Ovis aries: one gene and its partners. The protein of the gene in region 1 interacts with the protein of each later gene in a pairwise test. Links are inferred from orthologs where the notes say so. Each region holds a gene or a part of one and is shown on either strand. Other genes may lie near its edges. The genes, in order: TFCP2, carbonic anhydrase 1, CDC73 and ZCCHC10.

Region 1 (3,564 bases):
CTGGAGGTGGAACCGACCTGGAGATAGAATTCTTGACATAGGTAAGTTAAGAGAATCCATTGCTTAGGAAGTGCCTTTAACTATGGTCTGTGAATTGGTTTTCTTTACTTGACATTTGCCTTGACTCAAAATGCTCCAGGGGCTCAATTAACATGAACTAAGCATAAAATATTACTGGTGTAATGATTTCAGAATTCAAGTTGAAAGTGTAGAGACTTCAGTTCTGTAACAACTGCATCCGTTACTAAAAAGTGCTTTTTGTTTTTTGTTTTTTAATTTAGTTGTGGTAAAATATACATAACGTAAAATTTACTGTTTTAACCATTTTTAAGTATACAATTCAGTTGCATTAAGTACATGCCCATTGTTGCACAAACCATCACTACCATCCATCTCTAGAATTTTTTTCGTCTCGCAAAAGTGAAATTCTGTACCCAGGAAACAACAATTTCCCATTCCTTCCTCTCCCCAGCCCCTGGCAACCACCATTCTACTTCTTATCTGTATGAATTTAACTGCTGTAGGTACCTCATATAAATGAAATCATTATTTGTCTTTTTGTGCCTGGGATATTTCAGTCAGCGTAAATAAACCTCAAGATTCATACATATAGTGGCATGTGTTACAGTTTCCTTCTCTTTGGGAACGCTTATACACTGTTGTGGAAATTAAGTTGGTATAGCCACTGTGGAAAACAGTATGGAGGTTTTTCAGAAAGCTAAAAATAGAACTATCATATGACCTAACATTTCCACTCCTGGATATATATCCAAAAGAGCCCAAAACACCAATTCAAAAAGATACACGCACCACAACGTTCATAGCAGCATTATTCACAGTTGCCAAGATGTGCACACACCCTAAGTGTCCATCAACAGTTAAATGGATAAAGAAGATGTGAGACACACATACACATACATACACACACAAATACACATCCAAGCTCTATAGCGTTAGCCTCTCTTCGTGAATATGCTTTTAGTTCTGGCATCTGTCCTTGATCTCTTATTGGTTATTATCTCCTAATGGTAAACATGGTTGCTAAACAGACCTAAGTATTACTAATTTTATCTGAGAAAACACTGGTTCTCCTACGGATATCTTGATATCCATTTGATAAACTGACTTTAGGATAAATCCAACACAGCTAATAGTGTGGAGTGGGACCCACTTAATGCTTTCTTGTTTGAATCATTGATATTAAAACAGTTGAGAAGTTATAGCACAGTTATAGTAACAAATATTATCTGGCCTTATCCCTCAATTTGAATTATTAATAGCAGTCTTATTTTTAAAACTTTTTAAAGTGGAAAAAAGATGTTCAAAGGAAAGTACTTAGGTCAATTTTAGCTCTAATTGAACTCTTTTTTGGCAAAAAAAAAAAAAAAGTTTAGGGTATGATACACAAAAATCTTGGTAATTCAGGACCAATGATAGAAGAATCGGTGCTTTCTTATTTAAACCCAGTAGCACCCAGAATTGTTCAATGATCACCATTTATTTCTCAGATATCCCAATGTCTGTGGGTATAATCGATCCTAGGGCTAACCCAAACCAACTAAACACAGTGGAGTTCCTGTGGGACCCTGCGAAAAGGACGTCTGTGTTTATTCAGGTAAGATGCTGTGGACAGGGCTCCAGTTTTGAAAAGGATTCAGGTAAGACACTGTGGACAGGGCTTCAGTTTTGAAAAAGATACCTTACCACGAGTTTGGTCCTTAAAGGATAAAAACGTATTGAATTTGAAATCTTTCCGGGTTGCAACCTGTAAACTTCTAAACAAATGCAGACATCTCAACATGTGAAAGCAAAGAGAAGTTTCTGAGTTGCTCTTCTAATTTCCCCAATTTATTTATTTGTTTCTCTCAAAAATACTTGCTAATGCATGCATTATATTTTATTCTTGAGATAAACTTATCTAACAGTTGTCTAGCATTGAGATTATCCTCATTTTTCAGTACTACCAAAGAAGTTATTTTGAACATCTTCATAATTAGAATTTGATTTGCATATCTGATTATGTCCTTTGGGTAGACTGCCTGAAAACTCATACTTGTAATAATGATAGCCAGTAGTTGACTGAGTGCTTCTCATCAGATAGTCACTGTGTTAACACTTTTTACCCATGATTTTAAGACTTTCAACAAGAATCCTGTGGAGTAAGAATATTCCTTGAGTCTTAGATAAGTTAATAACTTACCCAGGCTAGTATTTGGTCAACCAGGGCTCCACTATGACGATTTGTCAAGATCTTGAACTTTATATGCAGTAGCCTAGCAAACAGTTTTCTTCCTATTGCTCGTGAGCTTTCATATTTACTATTCTCCCAGCATGGATGGTGCCTCTGTTTTCTAAAATCTACCGTAAATTTCAGGAAAGTTTCATTAACAGAAATCATTTCTCTTCTATGTTAACTCTGTCTTTTCTGAAATAATTAATGAATTCCTCAGAGCAGCTTTTTGTTAACATTAGACCTGTACATTTATTTTGTTTGCGTTTGTAAATCATTGAAGTTTTCCTCATTTCCTCATGAGAGTGTAAACTCTTCATGATCAGAAAGAGAGTGTAAGGTTATCTTGTAGGTGTTTAAAGGTTTTGCTGTTGCCCTAAAATGTTGCTGACCGGTTTGGCTCCTAATAGAACTGAAACCTGGCTGGATGGTGTATTCTTTTCAGGTGCATTGTATTAGCACAGAGTTTACCATGAGGAAACATGGTGGTGAGAAGGGAGTGCCATTTCGAGTACAAATTGATACCTTCAAGGAGAATGAGAGCGGGGAGTATACTGAGCACTTACACTCAGCCAGCTGCCAGATCAAAGTCTTCAAGGTATTCCTGGGCTTTGCGCTGGTCCTTGGACTTTTTTTCCTTGTCTTTCATTTGCAACATTAGTCACCAAGTGAGAAAGTCAGCTTGTCTCTTTTCCAAAACTATGAAAGCCCAGCCTAAATTAGAGTTACTGAAATAAGTACTGAGCTGCCCAGTGAAGAAGTTTAAATAGGGATGGTGGGAGAAGGGGAACTTGGAAAAGGGATCATAGGGATATCATGTGGATAAATATCTTCTCATTGCAAGATTCATTAACATGAAAGTATTTGGAGCATGACATGAAGTCCCCCTTTAGCACTCTTGCCCTGACCCCCAACCCCTCCCCAGAGGTAACCAGTCTCAGTAAGTTCATATGTATTCTTATTCACTTCTAATTCACTTATGTACACATGTACATAGATATACACATATTTTCCTTTCTTTGAAACATAAACAGAATTGTATTGTATGAATTGCTTTGAAGCTTGCTTTTTTCATAACTTAACTATGTGCTTTAGAGATTTTTTCATGTCTGAAGCTATAGATGTCGTACTCGCCTTCAATTCTATTACACATTTAAGTATCCCATTTTCAGACTTAGATTTAATGATGGCTCTGTCTTTACCTCATTGTATATACCTTTTTGTTTCACAAGTGATTATTCTAAGTTTGTAGAAGTAATGTTGAATCGAAGGGTAAGTACTTGAGTTTAAAATGGAATATTTCTCCTTTCAGCCCAAAGGTGCAGACAGAAAAC
Region 2 (4,134 bases), on another chromosome or scaffold:
CCAGGAACAGAGGAGCCTGGGGGGCTGCCGTCTATGAGATCGCACAGAGTCGGACACGATTGAAGTGACTTAGCAGCAGCAGCAGCAGCAGGAGCAGCAGTGGTAAAGAATTCACCTGCCAGTGTAGAAGATGCAAGAGACACAGGTTCAACCCCTCGGCCAGGAAGATCCCCTGGAGTTGGAAATGGCAACGCACTCCAGTATTCTTGCCCAGAAAAATTCCATGGACGGAGGAGCCTGGTGGGCTACAGTCCACAGGGTTGCAAAGAGTCAGACATGCCGGACCGCACATACAATGATTTTTTGAGTGCATGAATGAGCACACACAAATCAAAGCTGGCAGCCAGTGAGGCAACAGGGAAGGGCGGGAGTGGGCTACAGTCCAGGGGGTTGCAAAGAGTCAGGCACGACTGTGCTCACACAGAAGACAAATCTCCATTTGTGAATTCCAATACTGCTTCAAAACGAGGACCTTTAGTCTCATCTTGTATGTCTTTGAAATGTACTGTCATGAATAATATATTGAGTTGCCAAAAAGTTTGTGTTTTTCCCTAAGATCTTACAATATACTACCAACTGCAAACCCAATGTATTCCAAATGATTAGTGATTCTCTTATCTGATTTTAAATTAACATCAGGACATTGGTCTGATCTGCCTGTAAATATGCAAATTTTTCTCCTGACTGAATTACTGTTGCTACTCCAGTACTCTTGCTTGGAAAATCCCATGGACGGAGGAGCCTGGTGGGCTGCAGTCCATGGCGTCACTGAGAGTCGGACATAACTGAGCAACTTCACTTTCACTTTCATGCATTGGAGAAGGAAATGGCAACCCACTCCAGTGTTCTTGCCTGGAGAATCCCAGGGACGAGGGAGCCTGGTGGGCTGCCATCTATGGGGTCACACAGAGTCGTACATGATGGAAGTGACTTAGCAGCAGCACTATTGCTTAAGTGTCCAGCAAGGGTAAAAGCTGGGAGTCTCAAATGCACAGTCCTTTGTAACTAGATATTCAAAGCATCAGGTGTGATAACTCAGCCATATCTTCTACTAACATGAGAATAACAGGGCTTGGTTTTGCAGAAGCCAAGATTTTGAAATTTCTCTGCAACAGTATAAGAGAATAAACCAACTGGAACTGCCCTTACCTTTGTGAGCTTTTTAAACAATACCTTTTTTTAGCATGCATATACTTCCTGATAGATAAAGATGATGAAATAGCGGGCTGAGTGAGTAACACTCATGCACAGGGGCAGAGACGTTTCTATAAAAACCCTGCGAACTGTGGATTCAGTCATCTATTGCACGTTCAGTGACAGTCAGTTATTCCAGGTATTCTCTTTGTGTTCAGAAAAAGAAAACTAAGTAGAAGATCATGGCAAGTCCTGACTGGGGATATGATGGTGAAAACGGTAAGCATTCTTCTGCTCATGTAGCTCAAATAACGGCTTGTTCCCTTTTCCAGAAAAGGAGATATTGAGCACTTAAAATAACGGTAAAGTCATAGGTTAATGGTTTGAAGTGCCTTTGACTTATACCAGCTTTGCATGCATTCTCAACAGTTGTCCTTTGGGCCATGATTGTCTACAGAATGTATTCTGCCTCTTTTCTCCTCTCTCCCTCTCAGCCTCTCTCCCTCCCTATGTACAGAGAGGTCTATTGCTAACAGCAAAATATGTATAGTCTGATCCCATAGACTATGAGTATATTAACTCTGTTGACAAAGACTCTATTTTACAGTGTAGCATAGGAAAGGGGCATTCTCAAACCTTGGATTTCCATTAAGCTAACCAGAATACCGTTTCAGATACCTGAATAAATCCTAGCCTAGGAAAATTACATTCCTAAAACCTGGAGTCAAGCATTAGATCAGTTTTGGTTTAATCACGTTTTCCTGGTAGGTCCTGAACACTGGTGCAAGCTGCATCCCATTGCAAATGGAAATAACCAGTCTCCTATCGACATTAAAACCAGTGAAACCAAGCGTGATCCCTCTCTGAAACCTCTCAGTATCTCCTACAATCCAGCCACCGCCAAAGAAATCGTCAACGTGGGACATTCCTTCCATGTAAACTTTGAGGACAGTGATAATAGATCAGGTGAGCCAAACGACCCTCCTGATTTCTGTCTTTGACTTGCTGGGAAATTTAAACAGTAGGGCTTGCAGAACACGGACACCCATGTTCAGTGTTTGGCGCACATGTGTAGCATTGACGCCATCTACTGAGGTGCCTTGAAGTCTTAAAACATTTCCAAGTGTTAAGGATGATTCTGGGGTCCCAGCTCGCTCTTCTTTCAGCCCTTCTCCTTCTCAGTGACTCTATTTCATCTTCTTCTGGTTTCCAATGTCTTTATGCTAACTTTACAGCCTCTGAATAAACAGTCCTTTTCCACAAAATTCTGTGAACCATCATGAATATAAACACTGAAAAGGCAAATATTTTCTAACTGAGATGAGGTTGGAGGAGCGCATTAGGGAAGATACACATGAAGAGTTTATTTATTTTTTTGCGGCCAGGAAAATGGCTCGATACCAATGAAGTGCTTCAGTTCAGCTGAGTTCAGTTGCTCAGTCGTGTCCAACTCTTTGCAGCCCCATGAATCGCAGCATGCCAGGCCTCCCTGTCCATCACCAGCTTGTGAAGTGCTTGGGTACCAGTAAAAAAAAAAAAAAAAATACTGGTCTTGGGTGTATCTTGCATGGAATCATTCTGTGCATAAGTATTTTTGTCTAGCTTCCCCTCTCCCTATTAGATCATAGTAACTGAATTATCTTCATCTCCCAGAATCTAGCACACTTCCTTGTTCACAGGAAAATTCTCAAAACTGTTTACTGAATAATTACTAAATAGCCGTTTCAAAAATCAGCTCTACTGTCAAAAGGCAAAATTAGTCATAGCACGTTCCTGCAAGGTTCGGAGCCTAAATTTCAGACATCTTGGGGCTATGTCCTTTGTTAATATTGGATTAAGTCTGGTACTGTGTGTGTTTTATTAATCATATGGTTGGATAAGCTCTCTAAAGGAAAATGACACTTCAGTATGAGAATTTTAAAATTGACCCTACCCTCCTACTGGAACTTTTTTTCATCCCTTGCTAGGAATTCTCAGCAAAGCTGTCAGAATACCCTCTTGTATCTTGATAGTTACAAGATATGTGCAGAGTGATTGTTACTGAAAACAAATTGCTAGATATCTTAATGCATGCTGTCCATTACTGTCTGTTGAAAGAATGAATGAACTTATAAACTAAAGCAGGTTCAAGGAAAGACCTCTCGTCCTATAATTCACTCATCTTCCAATATGTTTTCCTGAAAACAGGAAAAGATAAAATTATAGCCCATGTGCTGGGAACCGTATAAGTCACGCACAATCTTAAGGTGCGGCACACATCTGAGCCCATCATTGTGGGCATGGGGAAAGACCAACAGGATGGGAACTTTGGACTAGGGTTAATTTTCATTACTACTCGACCCAATTTAATGCTAATTTGTATTCAATGCAAAGATAAGCGGGAGCTCATGACTGTAACACTAATAGCACTTTCCTTTTTCTCCTAGTGCTGAAAGGTGGTCCTCTATCTGAAAGCTACAGGCTGCGTCAGTTCCATTTTCACTGGGGCAGCACCGATGAGTGTGGCTCTGAGCACTTAGTGGATGGAGCCACATTTTCTGCAGAGGTAATGCAGCTGAGTGAGTGAGAGGAGCTACGCCGAGAGTCCTCCCAGAAGTAGCCCGCTCATAACACGGTGGTGTGTGTTAGTCGCTCAGTCATGTCCAGTGCTTTGTGACCCCGGGGACTGTAGCCCGCCAGGCTCCTCTGTCCATGGGATTCTCCAGGCAAGACTACTGGAGTGGGTAGCCTATCCCTTCTCTAAGGGATCTTCCCCACTCAGGGATCAAACCAGGGTCCCTTGCATTGCAGGCAGATTCTTTACCTGTCTGAACCACCAGGGAAGCCCCCCTTATCACTTAGGACACAATTTCAACAGCTCCAAAGGAATGAGCATTTTTCGGTCTGTAAAGAATTCCTAGGCTCCATTAAACTTAAACGGTGACACATTGTGTTTGGCAATGGAGGACAATTTTTCACGTGAGGGAGGCAGGTGAATTTGCAGTCAAACTCCTGAGCCTC
Region 3 (4,057 bases), on another chromosome or scaffold:
AATTCCTCTGTGGTGAGATAGTCAAGTAGTACTGGATGCTCTGATACAAGTATAAATAGAGTAGATAGTACTGGGGATAAATAAAAAGGTTATTTTTAACATGTTTGGGGTGAAGTTTAGGAAAATTTACAGAATAGTCAAAATTTCTCAAATTCAGCTGCAAAATGGCTGAAGAGTGAATACAGAAAAGTGAACCACATTCTACAGATCTCTCTGCAGTGCACATAACGAAAATTGCTTTCTTTCAAATCGGGTAAAAGAATTTGGTTATGTCAATCACAAAGTCGACTTTTTTCCTTTTCTGCTATAGTAAGACATTTTTAAAAAATGGCCCATGGGATATGTTTAAGGTAGACATGCCACAGTAAACTGAATTTATATCAATAAACTGAGCTTGTGTTCTCTAACTCTCCTATTAGCATCTCGGAAGACAGCTATTAAACTGTAGCCCCTTGAGGCTGGCCAGGAGAAGGGGACAAGAAGGAAAAAGCCACCATCTAAGGAACTGAGAAGGGGAAGATCCAATATTTATGATTTTTTGATTTGCCTGATGCTTTTAGCTTCCATGTTCTCCATTAACCAATTGATTCTGTGAGAAGGTGTGTAACTTGACTGAGGTCAAAAGGCAGCTAACAAACACCAGTGCCCCGGCATTGATCTTTGGCCTAGGCGAGCCCACTAAAAACACAAAATAAAAAATAACCCCCAAAGCAACATCTTTCCCCAAACACCTTTCCCTTCTACAGGGGTTTATCAAGAGGCCATTTGTTAGGTGGGTCCAACCTCGTCGGGACGGCAACCTTGGCTCTGCAAACCTCTCACCAGGCTGCAGCCTGGTTAAAGGAGAGACCACACTGCACTGGCCAGCGGCCAACACTGCGGGCCCGTCGAGGAGCACCCATTGCGCGCTCTGGGAACTGACGTCCCAGATTCCCCGCGCAGGTGCGCGCGCACCTGTCGCCTGCCGCGTGCGCGCTGCGCGTGGTGGGGCGAGTCGGGGGCGGGGGAAAGGAGGATGAGGTCCGTGCTCCCGCGCGTGCGCCGGGCAAGGCTCCCCCGTACGTGCGCCGTACGTGGGCGCTGCGTCCCCGCGCCCTATGAGTTGCGGGCCGGGAGTCGGCCCCGCGCGCCAAGTGGGAGTCTGGGAGGGGCGTTTCCCGGGCGGGCGCGGCGCCCCCTGGCGGCGGGCGGCGGCGGCGGCGGCGCGCGCGGTCAGGCGTTCTCCGCGGGCAGCCCGCGGCGGGGCCTTGCCTCCTAGCGCGGGGTCCTCGGCGGCCTGGGTGGCTCCTTCCCCCGCTGCTGTCGTAGGCGCGGACGGCTGCCAGTGCGACTGCAGTTGGCTCGCGGCGGCGGCGGCGGCGGCGGCGGCGGCCGAGGCAGAGGGGCGGGGGGTGGGGGGGCTGAGGCGACAGGCGAAAGGGGCGGCGGGCGCGGCGGCGGCGGCGGGGCCCGGGGCCGGCGGCGGCGAGGGGGGCGAAGATGGCGGACGTGCTCAGCGTCCTGCGACAGTACAACATCCAGAAGAAGGAGATTGTGGTGAAAGGGGACGAAGTGATCTTCGGCGAGTTCTCCTGGCCCAAGAACGTGAAGACCAACTATGTGGTTTGGGGGTGAGTCTGTTGCGGCGGGGGGCAGGGCTGGGCGCCCCGGGGTCCCCCTCTCTCTCTCCCCGAACCCCTCCCCCCCGCTCCCCTTGCGGGTTGAGGAAAACGGGTGCTCCGGGGAAAAGTTTTCCCGGGAGCAGAAGTTGCAGCTCGTCTGTGAGGAGGGCGCGGGAGGAGCGGCGTTCGGAGGGGTCCCTCCTCCGCGGCTCCGTGTGGAGGTCTCTGCCCCTGTGTGTGGAGAGCCGGCCGGGTGCATAGGTGCATATAAAGGAGCGCCCCGCCGGGTCCTCGGGCGGCTCTTTTTGTCCTTTAGTTGTTGTTTTTTAAAATCTCTCTCGGAGGCTCTTCTGCGATGGTCTCTGCTGGCCCTTTGCAGCTCCTGGTCGGTTCCGTCTCCTTTCGCGATTCCCTCAAGCAGAGAGAGAAGGGAACCCACTCCGTCAGGTTAGGACGGGTAAGATTTCGGCGACCTGGGACAAGTCGTCGGAATCTGTTGGAGGTGAAGGCAGGGGTCTCCCTCAGGGAGAAAGTTCCTGCTGAAATGAAGTCAACTTTGCCATTCTAAGTGGGGAACGAATAGAGTGTGCGATTGTGTGGGAAATGTGTGTGAAGAGTGTGTGTCTGGGAATGTTGATCCCAGTGAGGGTTGCCCGAGTGTAAGTCCTTAAGGAAGACACCCGAAGGGAGATCTGAAACCTACACGGGAAAAGTATCTGAAAAAGAATAGATATATGCATATGTATTTCAAAAGAAAAATAGGTCTGATCATCATGAGGGGCTTTTTGAGTGAACCCTTCCTCTCTCAGTGGCGTTTCATTTGGATAGCTAGAGCCCTAGACGAAAACTTTCATACTTATTTTGCTTGATTGAATGGGAGCAGTGGGCTTTAGGAAGAGTTGATGAAAAGCTAGGGGAAGTTTAGTTCCTTGGGTTTTATTTATTTAATTTTTTTGGCATCTTGGGCTGCTTATGGTTTAATTAGCTTTGTGCAGATGGGTAAAATCATTCTGAGTTTTCTGGTTTTTTTTTTTTTTTTTCCTTTCAAAAGGAACTTGCACAGGCAGATTTACATTTTAAAAACAAATTAACAGCTTATGTGATGAAAAGTCTATTTGATTTGGGGAGTAACAAGCTGGAAGAGGTTAGGAGTCCTCTGCCCCACACATTGTGTAGGAGCTCAGCGCTGATTGGATTTTTAACTGATTGGTTTTTCTTTAAAAAATGGTTGAGTATTCACAGTGTAAGGCTGTTCAGTCCCAGAACTGGAAAATATTTTGAAAACCTAGGTCGGTGCCTCAAAGGAGGTTATCTCAATCAGAGTGGAAGAGATGACACATAACTTGATAAGAATCGAATTCCAGTTCCTAAAGAGAGCAATCACTTCTAACTTGGAAAGTTTTCATAGAAGTGTGTTTGGCCTATGGACATGCTAGGTTTTTCTTGAATAAATGAATGAACAAATGTTAAGGAGTGGATAGGAATTCTGAGGGCGAAGTAGTGGGCTAGGTCTTTCCAGCTGAGGGAATGGCATGCTTAAAGACCTGAGAGCTGGAAAGGAAATGTTTTGATAGCTGAGTGAAGCCAGTAGTAAGAAAAGAGTGCTTACAACAGTAGATTTCAAACTTTTGCAGCAGTGAATCACACCAGTACATGTATTTTGATTGAGTGTTATTCTCTGTGTTTAGGGAAATGCACACATATGCATGACATTAATATTTACCCTTACTGAATGCAGTGCATCCTGTTGTTTTTTTTTTTAATATATCACGATATCACGAAGAGATACAGCTTGTTACTCATGTATTATCTACTTCATAATACAGTGATTGATAAGTGATATGTGGTTTGAAGTATATTGATTTAGGGAAAAAGTGGAAATACAGCCTAGAAAAATAATTGGGACTGATTATATTGGGCCATATTCAGATGAATTTAAACAATACGTTGATATTTCTAGATGGGGAGAATGTAATAGGACAGTGGGATTGGACACTAACATTTGTTGAGCAAGTAGTAGTATGTATTTGCATGAAAGGGCTTGCACTCCTGGATGACTGTTTTATCACAGGTAGAATTAGTTTTGGTTTTACATCACTAGTTTAATTTGAGAGAAGTCATAAGAATCATATCTCTGAAGTTAATTGTAGTGTTAAAGAATGTTGGTAAGGGTGTTTTCTCAGCAGAATCTTACTTAGAAGACATGATAAGTTTCTTGTAAGTTTAGCCTAAGTGACTAGTATGCTTCTTTTAATCAGTTTGTTTCTCTTATGGATCCTTCCTAACTGATTAGGTTTCTCTATTAACAAAGCCCAGAAGCTAATTTGGACCAAATTCTAAGAAGTCTGTAGTAATAAAGTTTGAATAGTACTTTCCTTACCTCTTGCTTTTTGTCATTGTTTGCATTTGTGTGCCCAAATGACATTTTCACTTATTAGATTTCATGCTCTTAAGAA
Region 4 (4,347 bases), on another chromosome or scaffold:
GGAAAGATTGAAGGCAGGAGGAGAAGGGGACGACAGAGGATGAGATGGTTGGATGGCATCACTGACTCAATGGACATGAGCTTGAGTAAACTCCAGGAGTTGGTGATGGACAGCGAGGCCTGATGTGCTGCAGTCCATGGGGTTGCAAAGAGTCAGACATGATTGAGCGACTGAACTGAACTGAACAGAGGAACTAAGATCCTACATGCCTGGAAGCAACTAAGTCAGAACTTTGCAACTATTGAGCCCTAGTGCTGCAACTAGAGAGTCCATGTACTGCCACGAAAGATCCTACATGATGCAACTATCACCCAATGCAGTCTAATTAATTAATTGAAAAGGTATGTATGTTTCAAACATCATGCATTTAAGGGAATACATTTCCATGATCTGATACTAAATGCTAAAATATCCTTAAATAATTAATATTTGTATAATTTTTTTCTAGTTGACAAAGCAGTTTTACCTGTATAACCTTCTAACATCACTATTAATAAAAATATGATTATGTATGTAACATAAGTAATTAACATATATGTACACTTCATAGTTTGCTAAAGTCACTCTTTTTAATCATTGTATTTCTTTAGTTTTGTCTGTGCTGGATCTTCATTGCCGTGCATGAGCTTTCTCTCCTTGCAGCGAGCAGGGGCTTCTCTTGTTGCGGGGCACAGGCTCTACGGCACTCGGGCTTCAGCAGTAGGGGCAAACAGTCTCCATAGTTGCAGCTCCTAGGTTCTAGAGCACAGGCTCAATAGTTGCAGCACATGGGCTTAGCTGCTCTGCCGTCTGTGGAATCTTCTCCCATCAGGGATCAAACACGTGTCTCCTGCCTTGGCATGTGGATTCTTTACCACTGAGCCACCAGGGAAGCCCCAGCCTTTTTCAACTGATAGTCAATCTTGTTCAAATTATTACTTTAAACTTTGCTATCCAGACTACTTCTGGTTTCTGAAAACTACAGTGGGGCTTCCCTGGTGATTCAGACTGTAAAGAATCTGCCTGTAATAACGGAGACCTGGGTTTGATCCCTGGGTTGGGAAGATCCCCTGGAGAAGGGAATGATTACCTAGTCCAGGATTCTTGCCTGGAGAATTTCATGAACAGAGGAGCCTGGTGGGCTACAATTCATAAGGTCCCAAAAGAGTCAGACGCGACTAAGCAATTAACTTTATTCGTTCATGTATATAAAAATGGATTTGTATATAAAGATGGATAGATAGATCCCTCATTCTACAATGTTCTTCCCAGCTTCTCCAAGCAATATAAGTGGACTCGTCCTTCAGAACCCTTGTTCAGATTAGTCAGTTGGCCTCATTCCTCTCCCTCCGACTATAGACTATGCAGGTAACACAACACACCAGGCCCCAACCCACTATTGCCCGAAAAGCAGCGCCAGAGCCTAGCCAGGACCACTGGCTCCGCCCACGCCTACGCCCTTCAGGGTTCGAAGTCCCCGCCCACTTCGAGGAGTTTCCCAAAACCCAGCGCGGCCGTCGCCAGCCGCGCTAAGATGGCGACTCCCATGCATCGTCTCATAGCCCGGAGACAAGCGTAAGTTAGGACCGGAGTTGGGCGGCGGGGCGGGCTGGGGGCGGAGAGAAGCGCGTCAGCGGGCTATTGAGCGGTGCCGGGAAGCGGGGTTGGTGTCGGATCCTCAGCTTGGCCTGGCGGAGGGTGGCCGTTTTTCTTACACGTCGCCTGCCCACAAGGGGCTCGGGCCGGAGCGAGAAGTTTGATGTCTGTGCACTAGCGATTTCGTGGAAGACGGCTGCGTAAGGCCACTGGGCGGGACCTAGGGGTGACTGAAGAGAGTCTCGCGTTTGGTTCCCGCGAAGGGGACGTCCAGGAATTGGTTACTAAGTGATTTATGCCGATTTGCCCAACCCAGCCGGTGGGCAGCGGTGGGCGCACCCCAGAGTGACCAGGCGAAGCTTGTAGCCCGCATCCAACACCCCTTATTCTCGCCGACGTAAACCTTCAGCTTCCTGTTCAACCTCCAGGCCAGCTGGCTTTTCCTGCCCCATTGTAATCGCCTTACCTAGGAACAGCCTGACTTTTCTCCCAAGCTATCTTCTCACATTCTGCCATTCATTCTCTAAGAGATACTTTGGGTGTAAGAAAATGTTCAAGACAGAATATTTGCTTTCAGGAAGCTTACATTCTGTTGGTGGAAAGAGTCAATAAACTAAACATTTTAAGTAAATGCAGTTGGATAGTAAGAGCTTTGAAGGAAATGAGATGGTGGAAAAAGAGAACGGTCCAGGTTAGGTTGGTTGGACTGGAAAGGCATCTCTGAAGAGGTGGGGTTTGAACAGAGATGGAAAGTGTGAGAAAGGAGTCAGTCGTGAGAGGATTGGGGGAAAGAGCATCCAGAACAGCATAATTAATTTGAGACAGGAGAGAACTTAGTTTCTAAGAACTGAAAGATGTCCATTGTGGCGGCTAATGAGCGAGAGAAAGGCACGAGAGTGTGAACAGATAATGCAGGAGTTCGTGTCATATGCCCCTTTCTTGTACAGCCTTTTTTTTTCTTCTACCAATCTGCACACCCAACCAACATTCACCACTTATTCACTCTCAGCTTTTCATGCCATCACTGTTTGCCTGTTTATAATACATCACTTAGTCTGCTGCAGTGTGTATATTTGTATTCCTTTTTGTATTTATAGTTTTTTTTTTTTTTAGTTTTTTTTATTCTAAGAGTCCTGATCCTTTTCTTCAATCTTTGATCAGACTCTGCCCCTCATGCTGGATGAAAAGAGTTCCTTGATCATAAAGATAAAGACTTACAGAATCAGAGTGAAGTAGTAGTATGCTTGGTGGAGGAAGAAGGCTTTTCCAAGATGGTTCTGAGATCTAGAATGAAGTAACAGTTCTACTTAAATAGATATCCACTTAAATGGTGTTACCAGGGTCTAATGTCTCTCAGATTTGCTCTTTTGGATGTTGGTTCCATACTTGGATAGATCACTCCTTTGGTCCTAAAATGGCTGCAGTATCTAGAGTCCTTTGTATCCTGTCAGCTTCAAGCTGATAGCATCTCATTGTCTAGACTGGATTACATGCCCTACCCTAAACCATGTCTGTGGGAATATGAAGTTCTGATTAATTTGGATCTCATTCTCTTCCCTTGTGGCTCAGCTGGTAAAGAATCCGCCTGCAACACAGGAGACCCCAGTTCGATTCCTGGGTTCAGAAGATCCCCTGGAGAAGGGAAAGGCTACCCACTCCAGTATTTTGGCCTGGAGAATTCCATGGACTGTATAGTCTATGGGGTCCCAAGGAGTGGGACACGATTGAGACACTTTCACTTTCATTTTCTCTTCCCAGCATAATTGAATGGGTCTTTATAAACAGTGGGTGGATAGGTCAGAGGACGTGATGATGGCTAGATTGACTAAATCAAACAGTGTCCACTTTTGAAAGTAAAACTTTTAATGCTTTTAGCATAAGTTTTAGAGTATCACAGAGTTAAACAAATGTTCCATTTCTTCAGTATGCTTGTATTCAGTACATGAGCTACCTAGGAGTAAAAAACAAAGCTTTAGGAGCTTCTGGTCTCAACTGGGAGGAAAACATGGTGTGTAACAAAACCTGTCATGGTTTAAAGGCTGTCAGGACAACTCCCAGGGAGTTGGAGACCGAGGGCCATTAGAGGCAAGGAAAGTGCAGGAAAATTTGGGGAATATTTTGGGATAGAAAGTAAAAGAGGAGCTTTTGCTTTTTATTTTATATTCATCAAAATGATTTGTTTATAAAGAGCAGATAGCGCTTCCATAAGAACAATTTTTAAGCTACAAGTTATGAGAAGTGAGAAAGTACTATTGACATTGTTTTTAAAAGTTTTTGGACCAAAGGAGGAAAGGGGGAAAATTTGAATTTCCCATTCAGCAGATCTTTTAGGAACTTAACTCTGAATCAGATTTAACTCAAACACAATTGTATGCAGAATGACAAGAGGAGAACTGATGCCCAGGAGACTAGAGGAGTGGGTATTAGAGCCCTAAGCCACTCTGAATGTGTTTAAGGCACTTGACCCAGGTGATTTCGTCCCCAACATAACAGAAAATTTCCAAGTGAAATGGCTGTAGCTGCTGGTAATCTGAGGACTTCTGGCCAACAGGAGTGACGCTAAAGGACTAGAAGTAGGCAAATGTTTTGATTTTCAAAGTGAGAAGGGTAGATTCCACAAACTAGACTTGTGAATTTGATATCCATTCCAGGCAAAATTCTGGCTGGATATATTAAATCTGTTCAGAAGTAAAAGCCAAGTTCATCAGGTATCAAATCATTACAGATTGATACCCTTATTGCCTTTTTTAAGTATTTGGATTTCAATGCGGC

What was found.
Region 2: the proteins of TFCP2 (region 1) and carbonic anhydrase 1 interact in binary tests that used the Homo sapiens proteins (3 or more experiments, as listed by UniProt). The two-hybrid records come from large-scale screens. The link is inferred for Ovis aries from reciprocal best matches to the Homo sapiens genes TFCP2 and CA1.
Region 3: the proteins of TFCP2 (region 1) and CDC73 interact in binary tests that used the Homo sapiens proteins (3 or more experiments, as listed by UniProt). The two-hybrid records come from large-scale screens. The link is inferred for Ovis aries from reciprocal best matches to the Homo sapiens genes TFCP2 and CDC73.
Region 4: the proteins of TFCP2 (region 1) and ZCCHC10 interact in binary tests that used the Homo sapiens proteins (3 or more experiments, as listed by UniProt). The two-hybrid records come from large-scale screens. The link is inferred for Ovis aries from reciprocal best matches to the Homo sapiens genes TFCP2 and ZCCHC10.

Annotation. Positions count from the first base shown.
Region 1 is NC_056056.1:135,083,907-135,087,470, forward strand, and holds part of TFCP2 (alpha-globin transcription factor CP2), read left to right. Parts: coding exon 1-41; intron 42-1,508; coding exon 1,509-1,615; intron 1,616-2,675; coding exon 2,676-2,828; intron 2,829-3,542; coding exon 3,543-3,564.
Region 2 is NC_056062.1:90,095,978-90,100,111, forward strand, and holds the start of carbonic anhydrase 1, read left to right. Parts: upstream 1-1,297; 5' UTR 1,298-1,376; coding exon 1,377-1,413; intron 1,414-1,902; coding exon 1,903-2,100; intron 2,101-3,560; coding exon 3,561-3,679; intron 3,680-4,134. UniProt on the Homo sapiens protein: Catalyzes the reversible hydration of carbon dioxide. Can hydrate cyanamide to urea.
Region 3 is NC_056065.1:11,318,997-11,323,053, reverse strand, and holds the start of CDC73 (parafibromin), read left to right. Parts: upstream 1-1,256; 5' UTR 1,257-1,479; coding exon 1,480-1,610; intron 1,611-4,057.
Region 4 is NC_056058.1:42,241,051-42,245,397, reverse strand, and holds the start of ZCCHC10 (zinc finger CCHC domain-containing protein 10), read left to right. Parts: upstream 1-1,501; 5' UTR 1,502-1,513; coding exon 1,514-1,554; intron 1,555-4,347.